Linked DNA regions of Drosophila melanogaster. The protein of the gene in region 2 purifies or fractionates together with the protein of the main gene of each other region. This does not show direct contact. Each region holds a gene or a part of one and is shown on either strand. Other genes may lie near its edges.

The links. The genes of interacting proteins can lie anywhere in the genome.
Region 1: the proteins of PAN2 (region 2) and Gyf purify together in Drosophila melanogaster (affinity purification with western blotting, with the first as the bait; one study listed by BioGRID). This does not show direct contact.

Annotation. Positions count from the first base shown.
Region 1 is NC_004353.4:862,696-868,630, reverse strand, and holds the start of Gyf (gigyf), read left to right. Parts: upstream 1-1,605; 5' UTR 1,606-1,655; exon of another isoform or gene 1,656-1,661; intron 1,662-2,336; 5' UTR 2,337-2,364; coding exon 2,365-2,700; intron 2,701-2,758; coding exon 2,759-2,929; intron 2,930-2,988; coding exon 2,989-3,283; intron 3,284-4,219; coding exon 4,220-5,935.
Region 2 is NT_033778.4:8,925,036-8,934,970, forward strand, and holds PAN2 (Poly(A)-binding protein-dependent poly(A) ribonuclease 2), read left to right. Parts: upstream 1-3,133; 5' UTR 3,134-3,264; coding exon 3,265-3,319; intron 3,320-3,422; coding exon 3,423-3,613; intron 3,614-3,673; coding exon 3,674-3,843; intron 3,844-3,900; coding exon 3,901-5,162; intron 5,163-5,223; coding exon 5,224-5,345; intron 5,346-5,398; coding exon 5,399-5,498; intron 5,499-5,555; coding exon 5,556-5,615; intron 5,616-5,674; coding exon 5,675-5,970; intron 5,971-6,034; coding exon 6,035-6,231; intron 6,232-6,295; coding exon 6,296-6,658; intron 6,659-6,719; coding exon 6,720-6,918; intron 6,919-6,979; coding exon 6,980-7,191; intron 7,192-7,255; coding exon 7,256-7,477; intron 7,478-7,535; coding exon 7,536-7,645; intron 7,646-7,707; coding exon 7,708-7,874; 3' UTR 7,875-8,068; downstream 8,069-9,935. Other genes in the region: CG8237 (uncharacterized protein), read left to right, coding at 727-1,704; AIMP1 (aaRS-interacting multifunctional protein 1), read right to left, coding at 2,037-2,849, 2,906-3,064; FANCI (fanconi anemia complementation group I), read right to left, coding at 9,582-9,935. UniProt on the Drosophila melanogaster protein: Catalytic subunit of the poly(A)-nuclease (PAN) deadenylation complex, one of two cytoplasmic mRNA deadenylases involved in general and miRNA-mediated mRNA turnover.

The DNA of each region.
Region 1 (5,935 bases), on a different chromosome or scaffold from region 2:
TATCTTTTTTGTATCATGGCGACTTCAGCGTGCCGAACTTCACTATTTTCTTAACAAAATTAATAGTTCAGAAATTTAGCTTAAACCATAGAATTATATGGGGATTCAATCAACTCTAATCTGGATAACCGTCCCATTGTTACTTATGAGGTTCAAATTTAATATATATTTATTTGTCTTTATCTTGCACTTAATGGGAACCAACATCAGGCTTACATATTATGCACTCACCCTGTCGTTGTAACTGTGTTGAAGGCCTTTCCACGTTGGTTAACGACGTACTGTAGGAGATTATATGTATAAAGTTTAACTGCCTTAGAAGCCGTTTTCATCCTTGCCGAGATAACGAGAAGCCTCGCCTACTGCTCGCCATTCCTTCTCATACTCCTAACTTGGAGCAGGCTGAGATCCTGCTGTTGCAATGATATTTTTTCCCCCACACGCAGGAACGCTCAGAACGGGTGCAACTGACTTTAGGTCTCGTTACGAAGTCTGCGTTTTTGGTTTACATTTTGAAATGACCCTTACGCTAAATTAAAAGCATTATAAGCGATGCGTTAAGCGCCCGATCTGGGAACAGTGCCAAAATTTCAGATGTACTCACTGCCTCGAAACGTGGTAAAGATTAAGATCGCTCGAGCTTCGCTGTTATACGATTAAGGTATCCGAAAATCCTTCAGAACATGGGCATCAGCGTTATGGGCGTCATATCGTTTTCAGACAAATCACATGCACCATTGGCGATTTTCGTTTCCAATATCTGGGCGTTCATACGTACGAACAGACAGTTATACAAAAGACAAAAGGGGTGCGTATACATCGCAGCAAATTTTTGACACATACCCCTCACTTCATGACTTATGTAAAAAGACCAAAATAATCACAAACCAGGTATTCATTTTGGATCAAACCAGACAAACGTGGTTATGAAAACGGTTATGAAAATAATGTAACCATATTAAAATTTATATATATATATATAAATATATATATCCACTACTATATATATATATATATATATATATTTAAATATATACATTTGTATTTATATATTTATTCAAAATAAACTAATACATCGTTTACTTACACTTTACTATTTCTACTGTTATGTTATAATACTGAAAAACTTGAACTTGAAATGAAAATCGACTGCTTGTTAAATATAAAATTATTAACAATTCCGAAAGACTAAGTTTCAATACAAAGCTAACAACAAGGTAGGAATCTAGCTTTGGCAGTGATAATAATTAAATAATAATATTAAAGCAAGAATTCCCGTTACTCAACTTAAAGAAAAAAATCAACACATAGTTAGTGGTCGTGGAAACATCGTCTGCGTCTATATCTATAGAATCAGCATGCTTTAAGTTCTAGTTCTTATAGTTCCTGAAAGCGAGACGTTCTTACAGACAGACGGATTGGTTGATTTAAAGATTGACACTTATGCATTCTCTAAATCCCGGTGCTTGATGTTGCAATGTGAAGACAAGGGTGATGTATCTGTCAACTAGTAGTAGTGGAGCTAGTGTATAAGAAGCAAAAGTGGCAAGAATACCCCTGTGCTAAATTAAATTGGAAGCTTGACATATCGCAAGACGGCCACGCTGGCCTTGCTCTATCTTATGTTGGCGTTGGTATTTTAAGATATCTCGGTGGTACGTGTAAGTTGAATATTTTTACGAAATTCAATTTAAAAAATTTTTTTAGGATGTGCAGTTATAGTGGCTTGATTTTATTAAGATTACCAGAAGAATTAACTAAACAATCTTTAAAATAAAACACACCCGCCCAGTGTGATAAAGTCACACAAATCAAAAATTTGTACATACATCACTGTGTGTCTGTATGCGTCCAGATACTTACGAATTTTTTTTACCTTTTAGATCTATATTAGTTCTATTAGTTCTATATTTCAAACATGAAAGCTCGAATCAGACATTTCAATTCTATAAACATGTTAATTTTAATGTGTGATGAGGGTGCATGTGTATTTCGCGTTCGTGTGTGACAATCAGTTTGATATTTTAGGTTAGGTTTCTGTGTTGCTTTTATATTATATTATTTTACTTTTACTATCCATTCTGTAAAGCTCTGGTAAGTTTTTTTTTATCACTAGTTCTTAACTAAGCTTTAAAATAAATCCTTTGTTGTACTGTTTGCTTTGAAAAAGACTTGAAGCTGTTTGCTTTATTTATAGAACTTGAACTGTTTGAAAAATAAACAATTGTGCACAGAATCATAAAGCCATTAGGAGTTTAACAAAAACACTGAAAATTTGATTTCATTGCCTTTCTTACAAATAAATCAACCAAAAACTTTTTTGAACTTATTGTCAGCATAACATTAAACAAGAGGCAAATAAAAATGACAGATTCAATGAAATTTGGCCCGGAATGGTTGCGCAATATGTCAGCCGAGCCTTCGGGCTCTCCCAGTACCTACAACGTTGGTAATGCAGCTCAAAACAATTCGATTGGAGGGCACAACCTGGGAAACAACACGGCGGCATCCGCTTCCCGTAATCTATTTCCAGAATACCGGTACGGACGCGAGGAAATGCTGTCCTTGTTCGATCGGAACTGCCTACTGCCGCAGATCCTGCCATCGTTCAAAAAGCTCTTCGTGGAAAAGGTTCAGTGCCCTCTTGCACTGACACCGAGCTCCGAGGAGGACATCAACCAAAACTCACTTGGCAATAACGTATGTGAAGTAATTTGACATGAGTTTTAGAACATAATTTACTTTTCTTTGAAACTAGTCTCGTCCTGCCTGGTTGCAGCGCTCGCCCAGTGGATTTGGTAGTGCCTCCCGAGGCTCTGGACGTGGTGGAACCGTTGACCGGGGACGGATGCGCGGAAAATCGGCCTATCATCCGATATACCAACGCCCAAGCGGTCTATATGATGAAAGCTTATCGGTTATATCAAAGGTAATTGCAAATACGAACTAAATAAGGAAGTACGATTAGTTGTTGATTTTTTCTGCCAGGCCGAACGCACATGGAGCGACCGCAACGGAACTGGAGATTCTGCGGCAACCACCACCTCCACTAGTGGCTCTGGTGCTCTAGATTGGAATGGAACTCCAAGCTCAAGTCCTCGAAAAGATTATTCTAATAATCATCGCAACTTGGAAAACTGGCGACGAACACGTAACGAAGATGGATCCGGTGATGGTCCATCCTCCAGCGGTTCCATGAGCGGACCCGATATTGCTGGTTGGCGGAGCGGTGTCGTCGGTGGAAGTACAAACGCAGGTTTTGGTACCAATAGCCATCGGTGGGGTCAGTCAATTACCTTTATATTATTATTTTTCATTTTTACTCCTACACATATGAGCACAATAATACATGTACTGCTATCTCTATCATGTAAATTTGACTTTCCAAAACTTTCCCCAGCCTATATAGTTGGCTATTCATTCGATACCATTCATGCTACAATCTGTTGTAAAGTTTGTGTTTCTTTAAAACGTATTCTAAAAAACCTTTTCATAAATATATTAAAATTAAGATTAAATGTTTTAGTTAATGAAGTATTTTATATGAGAATATTTAAACAAAAATGCTAATAGACCAGCTGAAATCCCTATGGTAATTTCTATGCAATGCATCAGGCCTTGTTTTTATTTCATTCCTAAAGTACATCGCTGGTAGCTTTAGTACGTTTTCAAATAATGATCTTTTTTTTTCCAGAATAGACTTGATTTATCAAAATTGAAAAATAAAAAAACGCGAGCCCATTTTAAGTGTTATGTATCAAAGTCCAACTAACTAACAGTTCAAACTATTCAAATATGGGCTTGCCTATACATAACAACGTAACCAAATATACTTTTTACACTTTGATACGCTTTACGCTTTATTAAAATGTACTTCTTCACCCGGTAATCTTCTATCGAAGTTTGGATACTATAATAAATTGTATATATAATGTATTTATAAAATTTTTGTCGTGCTTAGTGATTAAGAGTTAGTGTTCTGCCGCTATGTGGATCAGGTGTACAATCACTGACATATTTGCTTTCCTACTTGTATATCTGAATATCGCTTGCATTTCTAGTATCTAACTAAATGGGTAACAGTTTTGCAATAGCTCGACTATAGCGGTTTTCTGTTTAGTAAGTTTGCTATATTTGCTAAGAAGATGAACCAAGTTAAAATTTAAATAGTCCAAGTTATTGAACAACAGTATAGAACTTAAAAAAAAATTTTTTTTAGGAAGATCTACAAGCTGGCGTGATGAAGATCCTAGCGTCGACAATGCAGCTAGTTTACAACGCTCAATTTCAACAGTTGCGACTTTAAGTACAGATCGGACTGGAAACAATAAAGGATCTGGAATCGGAGCTGCAGAGGGAGTAGGGAGCATATCGCACCCACGGTTGTCGAGTTCTAAAATATCTCAATTATGGACTGTTAATAATGCAGCCGGTGTTGATGCCGACGAAAATCTACCCGAATGGGCAATTGAAAATCCATCGAAATTGGGTGGCAGTTTTGATGCTAGTGGAGCCTTTCATGGAGATACTGATCTAAAACCTATCAAAAGTTCGCATAATACTTTAAAAACCAAAAGCTTAGACTCCTATGACGATGTAAAAAGACCGAAAAGTAAAGACCTGTCTGATCCAGATAGTGGAAACGATATAACTCCAGAAACCTCATTAACGAAAGATACCAATACAACAGCTGTGCAAGAAGAAGTTGAAAGCAGTTTATCTCCAATAAGCTCTACAACGACAAAGGAAGTGATCCATGGAGATATTTCAGATCGGATTAAAGAGGTCGCCGATGAAGTAGAAAAACTTATAATGGATGATGATCATAAAATCTCTTCGAATCAAAGCCAACATCAAAATCATGACGGGTTTACAGCTGCACTTCCAAGAATGGCAGACATTGAGATAAACGTAAAACCGAGTGTTACAGCAGTGCATCGGCAAGCACCTTCCACCATGCCTATACAAATTACCCCTACAATTACAGATGTCGCTCCACCATCCCATGCAGTTGTGTCGTTTTCGGATCATGAGACAATGCAACACCATAACATGCACCACCTGCCACAATTTCCAATGATTCCTACACCGCATATCATCACTCCAAATCTAAACGAATTGTGGTTTTACCGGGATCCGCAGGCAAATGTTCAGGGGCCATTTAGTGCCGTTGAGATGACGGAATGGTATCGCGCTGGCTACTTTAATGAGAACCTGTTTGTACGCCGGTACTCTGATAATAGGTTTAGACCGCTGGGAGAGCTTATAAAATTTTGTCATGGTAACATGCCATTTACGCACAGTCACCTACTTCCATCTCCGATAGAACTAGAGAACATTCCTGTTGGTCAAATACCAGCCCCTCTAACGGCGTCACTTTCAATTACACCCCATAAGCCATCACCGATTCCTATCGCACTTTCTGTTGTTGAACAGCAGTTGCAGCAACAAAGAGATGAGCAACTAAAGGCAAATGTTACAGCAACAGCTGAAGCTCTACGTGCTGCAATAAAAGGAAGTTTTGGCGGAAATAGCATTGGTAATACGTCTCATTTGCTTACAATGCGGTTTCAAATGCTACAGGATCAGTACATACAGCACCAGGAATACCAAATACTAGCTGAGCTATCCAAAAATGAATGCTTTCAACGTCTTTCGGCTGTCGAGCAAGAAACAGTTGTTCGTCGGAAAGTTCAATTGCTGGGTCTTCCTGAGTATTTGATCAGCTTAAACGGATTAAGCAATTCTTTGTCCGTACTGAACCCCGTTGCCGGTAGACAGTTGTACAGGGCAGTGGTTGAGCACGCCAAGAAGGATCAACAACATATTTTTGCAAACACCGAGCAGCAACGTTCAGTGGGAAATTTACTGGATGCTAATAATTTCATTCTAAATGCCCAAATAATGATTCAGCAATCGCAGCAAGAGGTAGGTC
Region 2 (9,935 bases):
TGAACCACAGAACGTAATGCACTTTCCAATCAAATGTACATGTTATTTTTCAACATTAGCTAGGTATTTGATACGCATGCATTCAAAATCGTCCACGCCAGGGTACGAATGTAAGGTGTAGACTTCTGGCGCAGTACTTTTTAAATGCTTGATATCCTTAAGAACTTATTCACGCCTGTTTGTCAATGTGAATCTAAAATATCATGGCGGGTTGTCAACGGATTTATTGTATTCGATTCTTAAGTTGCTATGTCTAAGGAAGAAATCAAACCACTTCGAACTGTGTAATAATAAAATATTCAGACAATTGTATGTGCTTCGTTGTGTCGCTGATTTCAAAGTAAGTAAATACGGGTAATGTATGACCTCGTGCTTTTAATTTATATATTAAAGAACTACAAAATGCATTACATTTAGTTCATTAGATAAACAGCTTCTTGTTCGGTTGCCCAACTACTTTTTATTCAACATTATAGTTGTATGTACAAAAAGTTAGAATAATATATTTTCGAATTTTACGTACTATCAAATATTTCGCATCAAAAGTTAAAGTGAGTCTTCTTAAATTTTCCCGCCCTGCTTGAAATTCACAGGGAATCGTATTTAGCAGTATTTGTCATTCGCAGCGATACGCCGACACACCCTACCGATTGCAATACACGTCAACTTGTATAAATAAATAAAAGCCAGCCAAATAACAAAATCGATCATTGTGAGACTGAGAAAATGGGTGAACAAGGCGAGGAGACGGGTCAGAAGCTTACGGAGCGCTCCACCAAGGAAGCCTACTTCGAAAGCCTCGCCGAGTGGGCCAAACAGGCGACGCTGGCCCAGAATGCGATGCTCATGTTTCCCTACTACCTGATGGCCAACTACCCGACCATGTTCCCGGGACTGCCTTCTTCCGCTGCTCTCCAAGCAGCCGCCATGGGACAACCCCAAGCACTGGTTCAGGGCTCGGCTGCTGCGCCGGGAGAACCAGCTGCAGAGCCTCGTTTGCCTGCGCCAAACTTCAGCGGCCTGCGGATATTGGGCGAGGCGGCCCAGCTGGATATCATACAGCGTCTTGGCGGCTACGAGTACGTTCTGTCACCTTTTTGGAAGCGCGCCGTGGCGGAGACCATCGATATGTTCATCCTTTTCATTGTGAAAATCATCATTACCTTCGGGGTGGTCAACCTGTTCAACATAGAGTTCGATGAGGACGTGATTCGGCGCACCCTGGACCAAGAAGACCTCTTTTCGAACTTCTTTGACACATCACTAGATTTTATTTCGATGTCCACCGACCTCCTGCTAATCGAAATGCTGACCAAGTTCATCGTTTGCTGCTACGAAGCGCTGTGGACATACCTATACCAAGGGGCTACGCCGGGCAAGTCGCTGATGAAGATACGCATATACTATGTGGAAGCAGTGATGCCGCTTCAGGGGCCGCCCCTTCCACAGTTCGTCCTCCAGCCGCAGAGGGAGCCGATGAGGGCTCTGCTTTATCCGCCACAGACTCCCTCGCTGATGCGCTCCTTCGCCCGCGCGCTGATCAAGAACCTGGGGATGACCCTGCTCTTCCCCATTTGCGTGTTGATGGTCTTCTTCAAGAACAATCGCACCGCCTACGACGTCCTAACCAAAACGATTGTGGTGGAGAGCAATTCCATTGCCGTGTTCCGCACCCAAGGGCAAGCGCAGCGCAATAATCGCTGAGGACGGCACTTAAACCAGCCAAAGTGTGTAGGAATGGCGCACTCCTATGCACTTCCTATGCACATATAAATAGACTTGTTAATGATAAATTTAATGTCGTTATGTACTGCTGTCGTGTGAAATAAAATAAAATATCACATGAATACCTCAGAATCTGCACGATAATCAAACATAACCAGTAATCCCAATGATCAGTAGAGCTTCCGATATTCCTGTAGAGCTACTCTTCACTGGTACTAGAAACTGAATGATAATGAAGTTCTGATACTGAAATGGTGTGCAGGCGGTGATGTTTCGTTTATTGGCTCAAAGCTTTAGTTTCGTTTATTGGCTCACTTCACATTGACGTTCTTCAGGGTTTGGGCCACCACGTTGCCCTTGCCAGGAACATGGAGAGCGGCGCCCTTGTAGCAGGCAACCAGTTCGCCGTTGGTCTTCAGATCCGGGGCGCACGACTCAAAGATCTTCTTCTTGGGGTTGAGCTGGGCGTCTGGCTGGCGCGGATAGCCCTCGCAGTGAACCAGGTCGCCGGGAACAGCTCCGGCGGGCGGACTGAGCACTTCCACTTTTTCCGGTGTAGATGCGCACATGACCATAGCCTCCGAGGTGACGCCGCGCATTTTGGCCGGCTTCAGGTTACACATGACCACTACCAGACGGTTCTGCATCTCTTCCAGGGGCACGAACTTCACCAGACCGGACACCACGGTGCGTGGAGCCGCCTCGCCGCAGTCGATCTTCTCCAGATACAAGCTGTCGGCGTCGGGATGGCGACCCACCTCCACAATCTTGCCCACGCGTAAATCCAGGCGACCGACGTCGACGGGAGCCTCCGGAGCGGCGGCGGGCTTCTCGGCGGCCGGTTTCTTCTCCTTGGACTTCTTTTCCTTGGGCTCCTTGGCCGGCTTAGGAGCCGGGGCAGCGGGTGCAGCGGTAGCAGGTCCAGCCTCTGCCGGCATAACTACTGGGGCCGCACTGGTGCAGAAACCCCGGGCTCCAGGCACCGGAATCTGTTTCTTGCCATTTCGCAGCTCCAGCTGCACCAGCTGGGCCAAAGCCGCCTCAACTTCCTTGGCCAGTGCAGCGTTCTCCTTGATCAGCTCCTGCTTCTGGCGCTCCACAAGTTGCTGCTGGATGCCGGAAATCTGGGGGGCAGTAGGTTATCGAGTGTTCGCAGGCGCTGGCAGGCGGAAATACTTGCCTCGGCTTCAATGGAGTTGATCAGCGCCTCGGCGCGCTCGTTGTTGCTTGCAATCTGCTGCAGATCGGCCATTGTTCTTTTGTTTCTCGCGAATTTTGAGCAATTCTGGCCGTAATTTTTACATGCGGATCCCACAGTCGTGGCAGCTCTACGCAGCATTGCAGTGCTTCTTCTTGCCACGCACAGTGGCGTCGCGCAGCGTTGGACAGGTAGTTCGTTGGCGGAGAAGCGAGAGTATTTTTACATCAGCCCTGCCAGGGTCACTCTAATCGGTGCAACGCAAAAACGGCTGGCAGTTTTGAGCGAAATTTGTTAAAAAATAAACAATAAAAAGTCGCGTGGGCATCGGCGTGCGGCAGATGGATTACGTGTATTGCGGCACCGACCCCATCGGGGCCTCCGAAGACATACTAAGTGGGTCAAGGGGTCGCTTTGGGGCCAACGCTCACCCACACGCACACACACACGCAAGCCAGCTAAAGCTTTCTCCTTTGTTTTCTGTTTACTTTTTGAAAAGGTGTTTATGACGCGGGATCTGCGCCGGGAAACGGGCACTTTTCGCCCAGCTTCAATGGATTCAACATCGGCACCACCGATCCGGAATATGTGGAGCTTGTGCCCGTGCTTGCCGACGGCGGGGAGCACTTCGGCGTTTCCAGCGTGGCGTTCGACGACTACGAAGAGCTGCTGTGGATGGGCAACCAGGGCGTGAGTTCCTCGTCCAGCCTGCCAGGCTTACTAATCCTGAATCTTCGCTCCTTCCCGCAGGGCCACGTCACATCGTACTACACAAACTCCATGCAGAAGTACACATCCTTTCAGGTCCACGCCACCGACATTGTGCGCGACATCTCCACCCTGGACTCCGGAGTGCTGGCGCTCACGCAGACCTCGCTGCGTCATCAGATCCGCAGGGGTCTGCCCAAGTTTACCTTCAAGTAAGCCACCGCGCTGGCACAAAGATTCCCCGAAAGTGAGGTTTCAATTTCTTGCAGATCGAACAACATGAAGGAGATGGTGAGCATGCTGCAGCTATCACCGCATCGTCTGGTCATGGCCGGACTGCAGGACGAGCTTATCGACTTCGACCTGCGCACGCTCAAGGAAACCCGCATAGAGCATGTGGGTGCCGGCGGATGCACGGTGCTACGCAAGAATTCACGTTATCTGTTTGCCGGCGACCAGCTGGGAACGGTAACGTTGCGCGACCTGAACAGCCTGAGTGTTCAGCACACAATCAAGACGCACACCAACATCCTTTCGGACTTCAGTGTCCAGGGAAATCTGCTAATCTCTTGCGGCTACAGCGGAAGGCAAAATAACCTGGCCATCGACCGCTTCCTAATGGTCTACGATCTGCGCATGCTGCGCCTGATCGCGCCCATTCAAGTGATGATTGATCCGCAGATGTTGAAGTTCCTGCCATCGCTGACATCCCAACTGGCCGTCGTGTCCAGCTACGGCCAGGTTCAGCTGGTGGACACTGTGGAGCTCAGCGAGCCGCGAGTATCCATGTACCAGATCAACACCAACGGCAGCCAGTGCCTCAGCTTCGACATTAGCTCCTCTTCACAGGCCATGGCATTTGGGGACCAGTCGGGCCACATCAACATGATTGCCGCTGTACAAACGCCTCAGCCGCAGTTCAATCTCTACTCGCGAAGCACAGAGTTTGCGGACGTGGTGCCACAGCTGCCGATGGTCTCCATTACGGACACCAACTTTCCGCTATCGTCGGTCATGCTACCGCACTTGACGACGGGCACACAATGGTTCTCAGATTGGCCGGAGGAACTGCTGCGCTACCGCTACCACAGGCCCAAGACCATTGATCCCGAAGTGCTGAGCAACATGAAAATGCAGGGACCGATTGGATACTCGCCAAACCCACGCACCGCCCGTCGTAATCAAATTCCGTACGTGATTGAGCAGGGCGGCGTGTGCAGTCCGAACGGAAATGGAACTGCGGCGGCGACCAAGGCGGAGAACGGTGTGAAAATCATTCCACGGCGGTATCGCAAAGTCGAGCTGAAGTACACGAAGCTGGGCACCCAGGACTTTGACTTTGACCAGCATAATCAAACATGTTTCGCGGGGCTGGAGGCAACGCTACCGAACTCCTACTGCAATGCTATGCTACAGATTTTGTATTTCACCGACGCGCTTCGCGTGAAGCTGCTGGAGCATTCGTGCATCAAGGAGTTTTGCCTGTCCTGCGAACTAGGGTTCCTCTTCAACATGCTGGATAAAAGTACCGGTTAGTTTGCTTGTGTAACTTAACTATCCTTAGTTTAAGTATTTATGTGTGCTCCTTTCAGCTTCTTCACCTTGCCAGGCCAGCAATTTCCTGCGATCTTTCCGCACTGTGCCAGAGGCCTCGGCACTGGGATTGATTCTCACCGACCGCTCATCGAACGTCAATCTAATATCGCTGATACAGGCAAGTAATACCATGGTTTCCTAAGCAGATATTTAATTTATGCACACTCTCAGAACTGGAACCGATTCATTTTGCATCAAATGCATTACGAAATATTCGATTCTAGCAAGAACGCATCCACCTACAGCGGATCTGTGCAAACATCAACGAACGGTAACCACAGCCGAGTTTATCCTTTACAAATAAGTGAAACTTCGATTTATTTTGCAGCGGAAAACGCGGGCTCTTCAGAAACAAGTGGCTCCTCGGACCTTTACGATTCCATAAGTGGTGGGCAGGTGAATTAATGGTTTAACTAACACTCTAATCATATGTACGTATATGAACAGATGAGAACTCCAAGGAGGACGATCGGGAACGCAGTAAGATCAACGCAGAAACTGACATCAGTAAGATCTTTGGGACCAAGCAAATCTGTATAAACCGCTGCATCAAATGCCAAGAAGAGAAGATAAAGGAAAGCATTCTACTTGCCTGCAATTTGTCGTATCCCAACCACATCAAAGATAGTGATCAGTATTTCAACTTTGGCACCATTTTGAAGCGATCTCTCAGCTCCGAGAAGAGTATTCAGGCCTTCTGCGAGAGATGTAAGAAGTTTTCGCCAACCAATCAGAGCGTGAAGGTCGGGAGCTAACTTTATAGTGAACCAAGCAAGAAGTTACATATGTAATGCATCTGAATTTCAGGTGACTTCGCTTCCGCAAATTCTGTCCATTAACTGTGGCCTCAACAACGAAAAAGACATTACCTTCCTGAAGCGCCAGCTCAATCGCTGCAGCGAAAAGACGACTGTTGATGCGGCCGCTTCCTTGAGCACAAGCAAGCCGTGTCGATATGGAGCCAACTGTTCGCGAAGTGACTGCCATTTCATGCATCCGGATCGGTGAGTTACGACGAATCGAAACTGAATCAGTCGTCTTATGCATATTGTTGTACCTACTGTGCAGAAAATCTCCATCGCACACAAGCCAACCGAATGCTGTCAACAATTCTCCCAATGGACGCCAAAAGTCCTGGTTTCCCCTTACATTTACTATGGGCATCAATGACCAAGGTGAGGTGCAGGTGCAAACTCAATCAGATGCAAGCAGTGGCAAATCGGAACAGGAGGAGGAAACGGAAAAGCCACCAACAAAGGGCTTGGACAACAATCGGATGTACGCGCTGCATGCCGTGGTGTGCCAAGTCGATGATGGTACCCAAAAGAACTTGGTATCGTTGATAAATGTGCAGCGGCCATACCACACCATGAAACTGGCTGAATCTGCAGATGACCCTCAGAGTCAATGGTATATTTTTAATGATTTTAGGTAAGTTAGATCTCTATTGTGAATGGCCTTCGATTAATATTGCTCATATATCGCTCAACAGCATATCGCCCGTTTCGCCACAAGAATCGGTATGGTTCACATTGGATTGGAAAGTTCCTTGCATACTCTTCTACAGACACGTAGAGGATGACTCTGAGTCTGCTAGTACTACTAGCTCGACCGTCACGGAAAGTGAAGAAACCATTCCATCAGAGAGCAGCAGCGGCTCGCCAACAAATCTATCCAACCCTTTTCTAGAGGTTAATAGTTTAATATAGCATTGAGTCTGCTGAATGCTAATCTGAATCTTAATCCTACCAGGAAATTGTGAGTCCTATGCTAGGCAACTTAAGTGCAGACGCCACGCTGCAGCCCCTGCAGTCAGATGAAATGCCGCAGTCGGGTGATCTGGTCGCAATGGATGCCGAGTTCGTTACCCTAAATCCAGAGGAAAATGAGATTCGCCCGGATGGCAAAACGGCGACCATTAAGCCATGCCACATGAGTGTGGCCCGGATTTCATGTATACGAGGGTAATTCATTAACTGAAACTTAAAAATATTCATCTCGATAAGCACGGGTATGAATTCTTTACAGACAAGGCCCGGCTGAAGGAGTTCCATTCATGGACGATTACATATCCACCCAGGAGAAGGTCGTGGACTACCTAACTCAGTTCTCGGGAATCAAGCCTGGCGACTTGGACGCTAACTTCAGCAAAAAGCGACTGACTGCCTTGAAGTACTCATACCAGAAATTAAAATACCTCGTTGACGTAGGAGTAATATTTGTCGGACATGGTCTGAAGAACGACTTTAGGTGGGATGCCCTGCTTTGTAAGGAACCAATAGACCACTAAACTTCCATGTGATTGCAGGGTCATAAACATCTATGTACCGTCGGAGCAGATAATAGATACGGTGCACCTGTTTCACATGCCACATCATCGCATGGTTTCCCTAAGATTTCTAGCCTGGCATTTCTTGGGTTTGTATAGGGGTTTTCTTCGATTTGGAATTGTATCTAATTGGGTTTTCCTAATGCCAAAGGTACTAAGATTCAGTCCGAGACGCACGACTCCATCGAAGATGCACGGACCACTCTGCAGCTCTACAAGCACTATTTGAAGCTGCAGGAGGAGAAGAAGTTTGCCAACGCTCTCAAGAATCTTTACGAACGCGGAAAGCAGCTGCAGTGGAAGGTTCCAGAGGACTGATTCGTCGCCAAACCCGATGCCAATTCGACGAAACTCATAATCAACGTTATCGTCAGTACAAACGCTACACCGATCTGAAAAAATCCCGGCTTCTCCCAATTTTATTATGTTTTAATGCGTTGCTATTTGCTACGAAGCTCCTGGTATTTCATGTTGTATTTGTCTATCTTTATAACAAAATCAAAACAAAGCATAAAAGTTGTATTTCTTATCAGTGATGCTTTATTGATCGTTGATGCGAATCTAAGTTGCTTATCAAATCCACAATCGGGCTAATAGGCAAAAGCGGGCAACAGATGTGTTCAGGGATCGTGCACGTCAATCGATTCAATTCCTTTGAAATTCTCATTCGCCCTCCCCTATCACCAGCGGCGTTTGTGAATTTTTGAGATGCTGTCGCCAATTTGATGAATAACCTGATGTTGGACTACTGCGCACCTACTTATAAATACCACGACGAGCAAGTCAAGCCAGTTAGTTGTTAGAGCTCACCATTCACTCAGGGAACATAGATGACAATGCATTTGCTTGGACTTCTCGTGCCGATCGCTTGCGCTGTTTTGTGCGTTGGTGAAAAATCCCTTTACCATGGTCTCGCCCAAACGGAGACTAATCGACGATTCCATTGCTCCCTCAGCTGCCGATCTCCAGCGGACATACGACGGACATGATGGGCCTCACGTTTTCGGAACACCCGGCAATCAAGTCTACATTCGGGGGCAGAACGATGGCGTATACAAGGTGCCAGGAGTAGGTGGTCAGTTCCATCACGCATCGTCGCCAGCAGATCACGTCTATACGGATGAGCAGGGGATCACGTATGTGCACAAAAAAGACGCTGGAGGACCAGGTGGCTAAGAATCATGGTTCGAGGCAGTGCATAAATCTTATTATGGATACTATTTTAAGGAACACATACGCTTAGAGGACCAGGTCTAGCTGCTGTACAGCCCGCCTACTCCACTGTGCAGCCTGCGGGACTTCGCAATCCCCAGTTTCATGTGGAGCGAAGTGGTCGCACTGTGGATGTTGGTTCTGGAGGATTTGTCGTCCAAAGGAGCAGACGTAGTCCTCAGTTCCATGTGGAGCGTCCTGGTCGCACTGTGGATGTGGGTTCCGGAGGATTTTTTGTCCAAAGGGGCAGGCGTAGTCCCCAGTTTCCTGTGGAGCGACCTTGGCAAAGGGCTTTGAAGGACTGATTGTTGAAAGGGACAGCCGCAGCATCAAAGATGGCCGCGTCCAGGGAGAAAACTTCGTGGCTCGTGACGATCAAGCAGGAATTTGGGATGATAGTGTGTCGGTGTGGAAGCGTCCGGATGGACGAACTGTCTCGGTGGGCAATGACGGAAGTGTTATTGTTTCTGGACATGGGCACACGCTGCAAGTGAGTACATTGTTTAATTTATCAAGTTTCGCTTATGAATATACTTATATATATTTTTTATTTGCAGTACTAATAAATAATGGGAAGCAGCCTTTTAATTTACAGAGATTAGGTAGCTAAAATTCCAATGATATTAAATGAACAAGATTCACAAAAACATTGAACAATTTTTCTTTTTGAACATGTGGAAATTCTAGAAAACAGCAATACAGCACATAATGAAAATTAAGTAATTGCGATAATCGCAACCATTTTTGAATAAGCAATGGACTGGCATGATTTAAATACATATACTTTTTAATATACTTTTTTTTAACAAAACATCATTTCCTTAATGTACGAGGTATTCCCAGTCTACGACTAGGTTGTGGTTTCTTCTTCTCAGCGGGCACTTCGGGAACGCAAAGATCCACTTTGGCTGGCTCCGCTGTTTGCTTATCCGCTGGACCTTTTGACCTTTTACTGGTACGACTCTCATGGGATGGCTGCTCCTCGGGTTTTTTAATGGCCACACTCCTTTTGGTTTTTGGCTCCACTTTTTTGTTTCGCCTTAATTTTAAAGTCGTTTCAGGCTGCTCTTCCTCGACTTGCTCTTCATCTTCAGCTTCCAGCTGTTCTGCAGCTTTGCGGCCTCTTTTTCGTTTGGGTTGTGGATCCTCTGCTTCACTGCTAGGTGC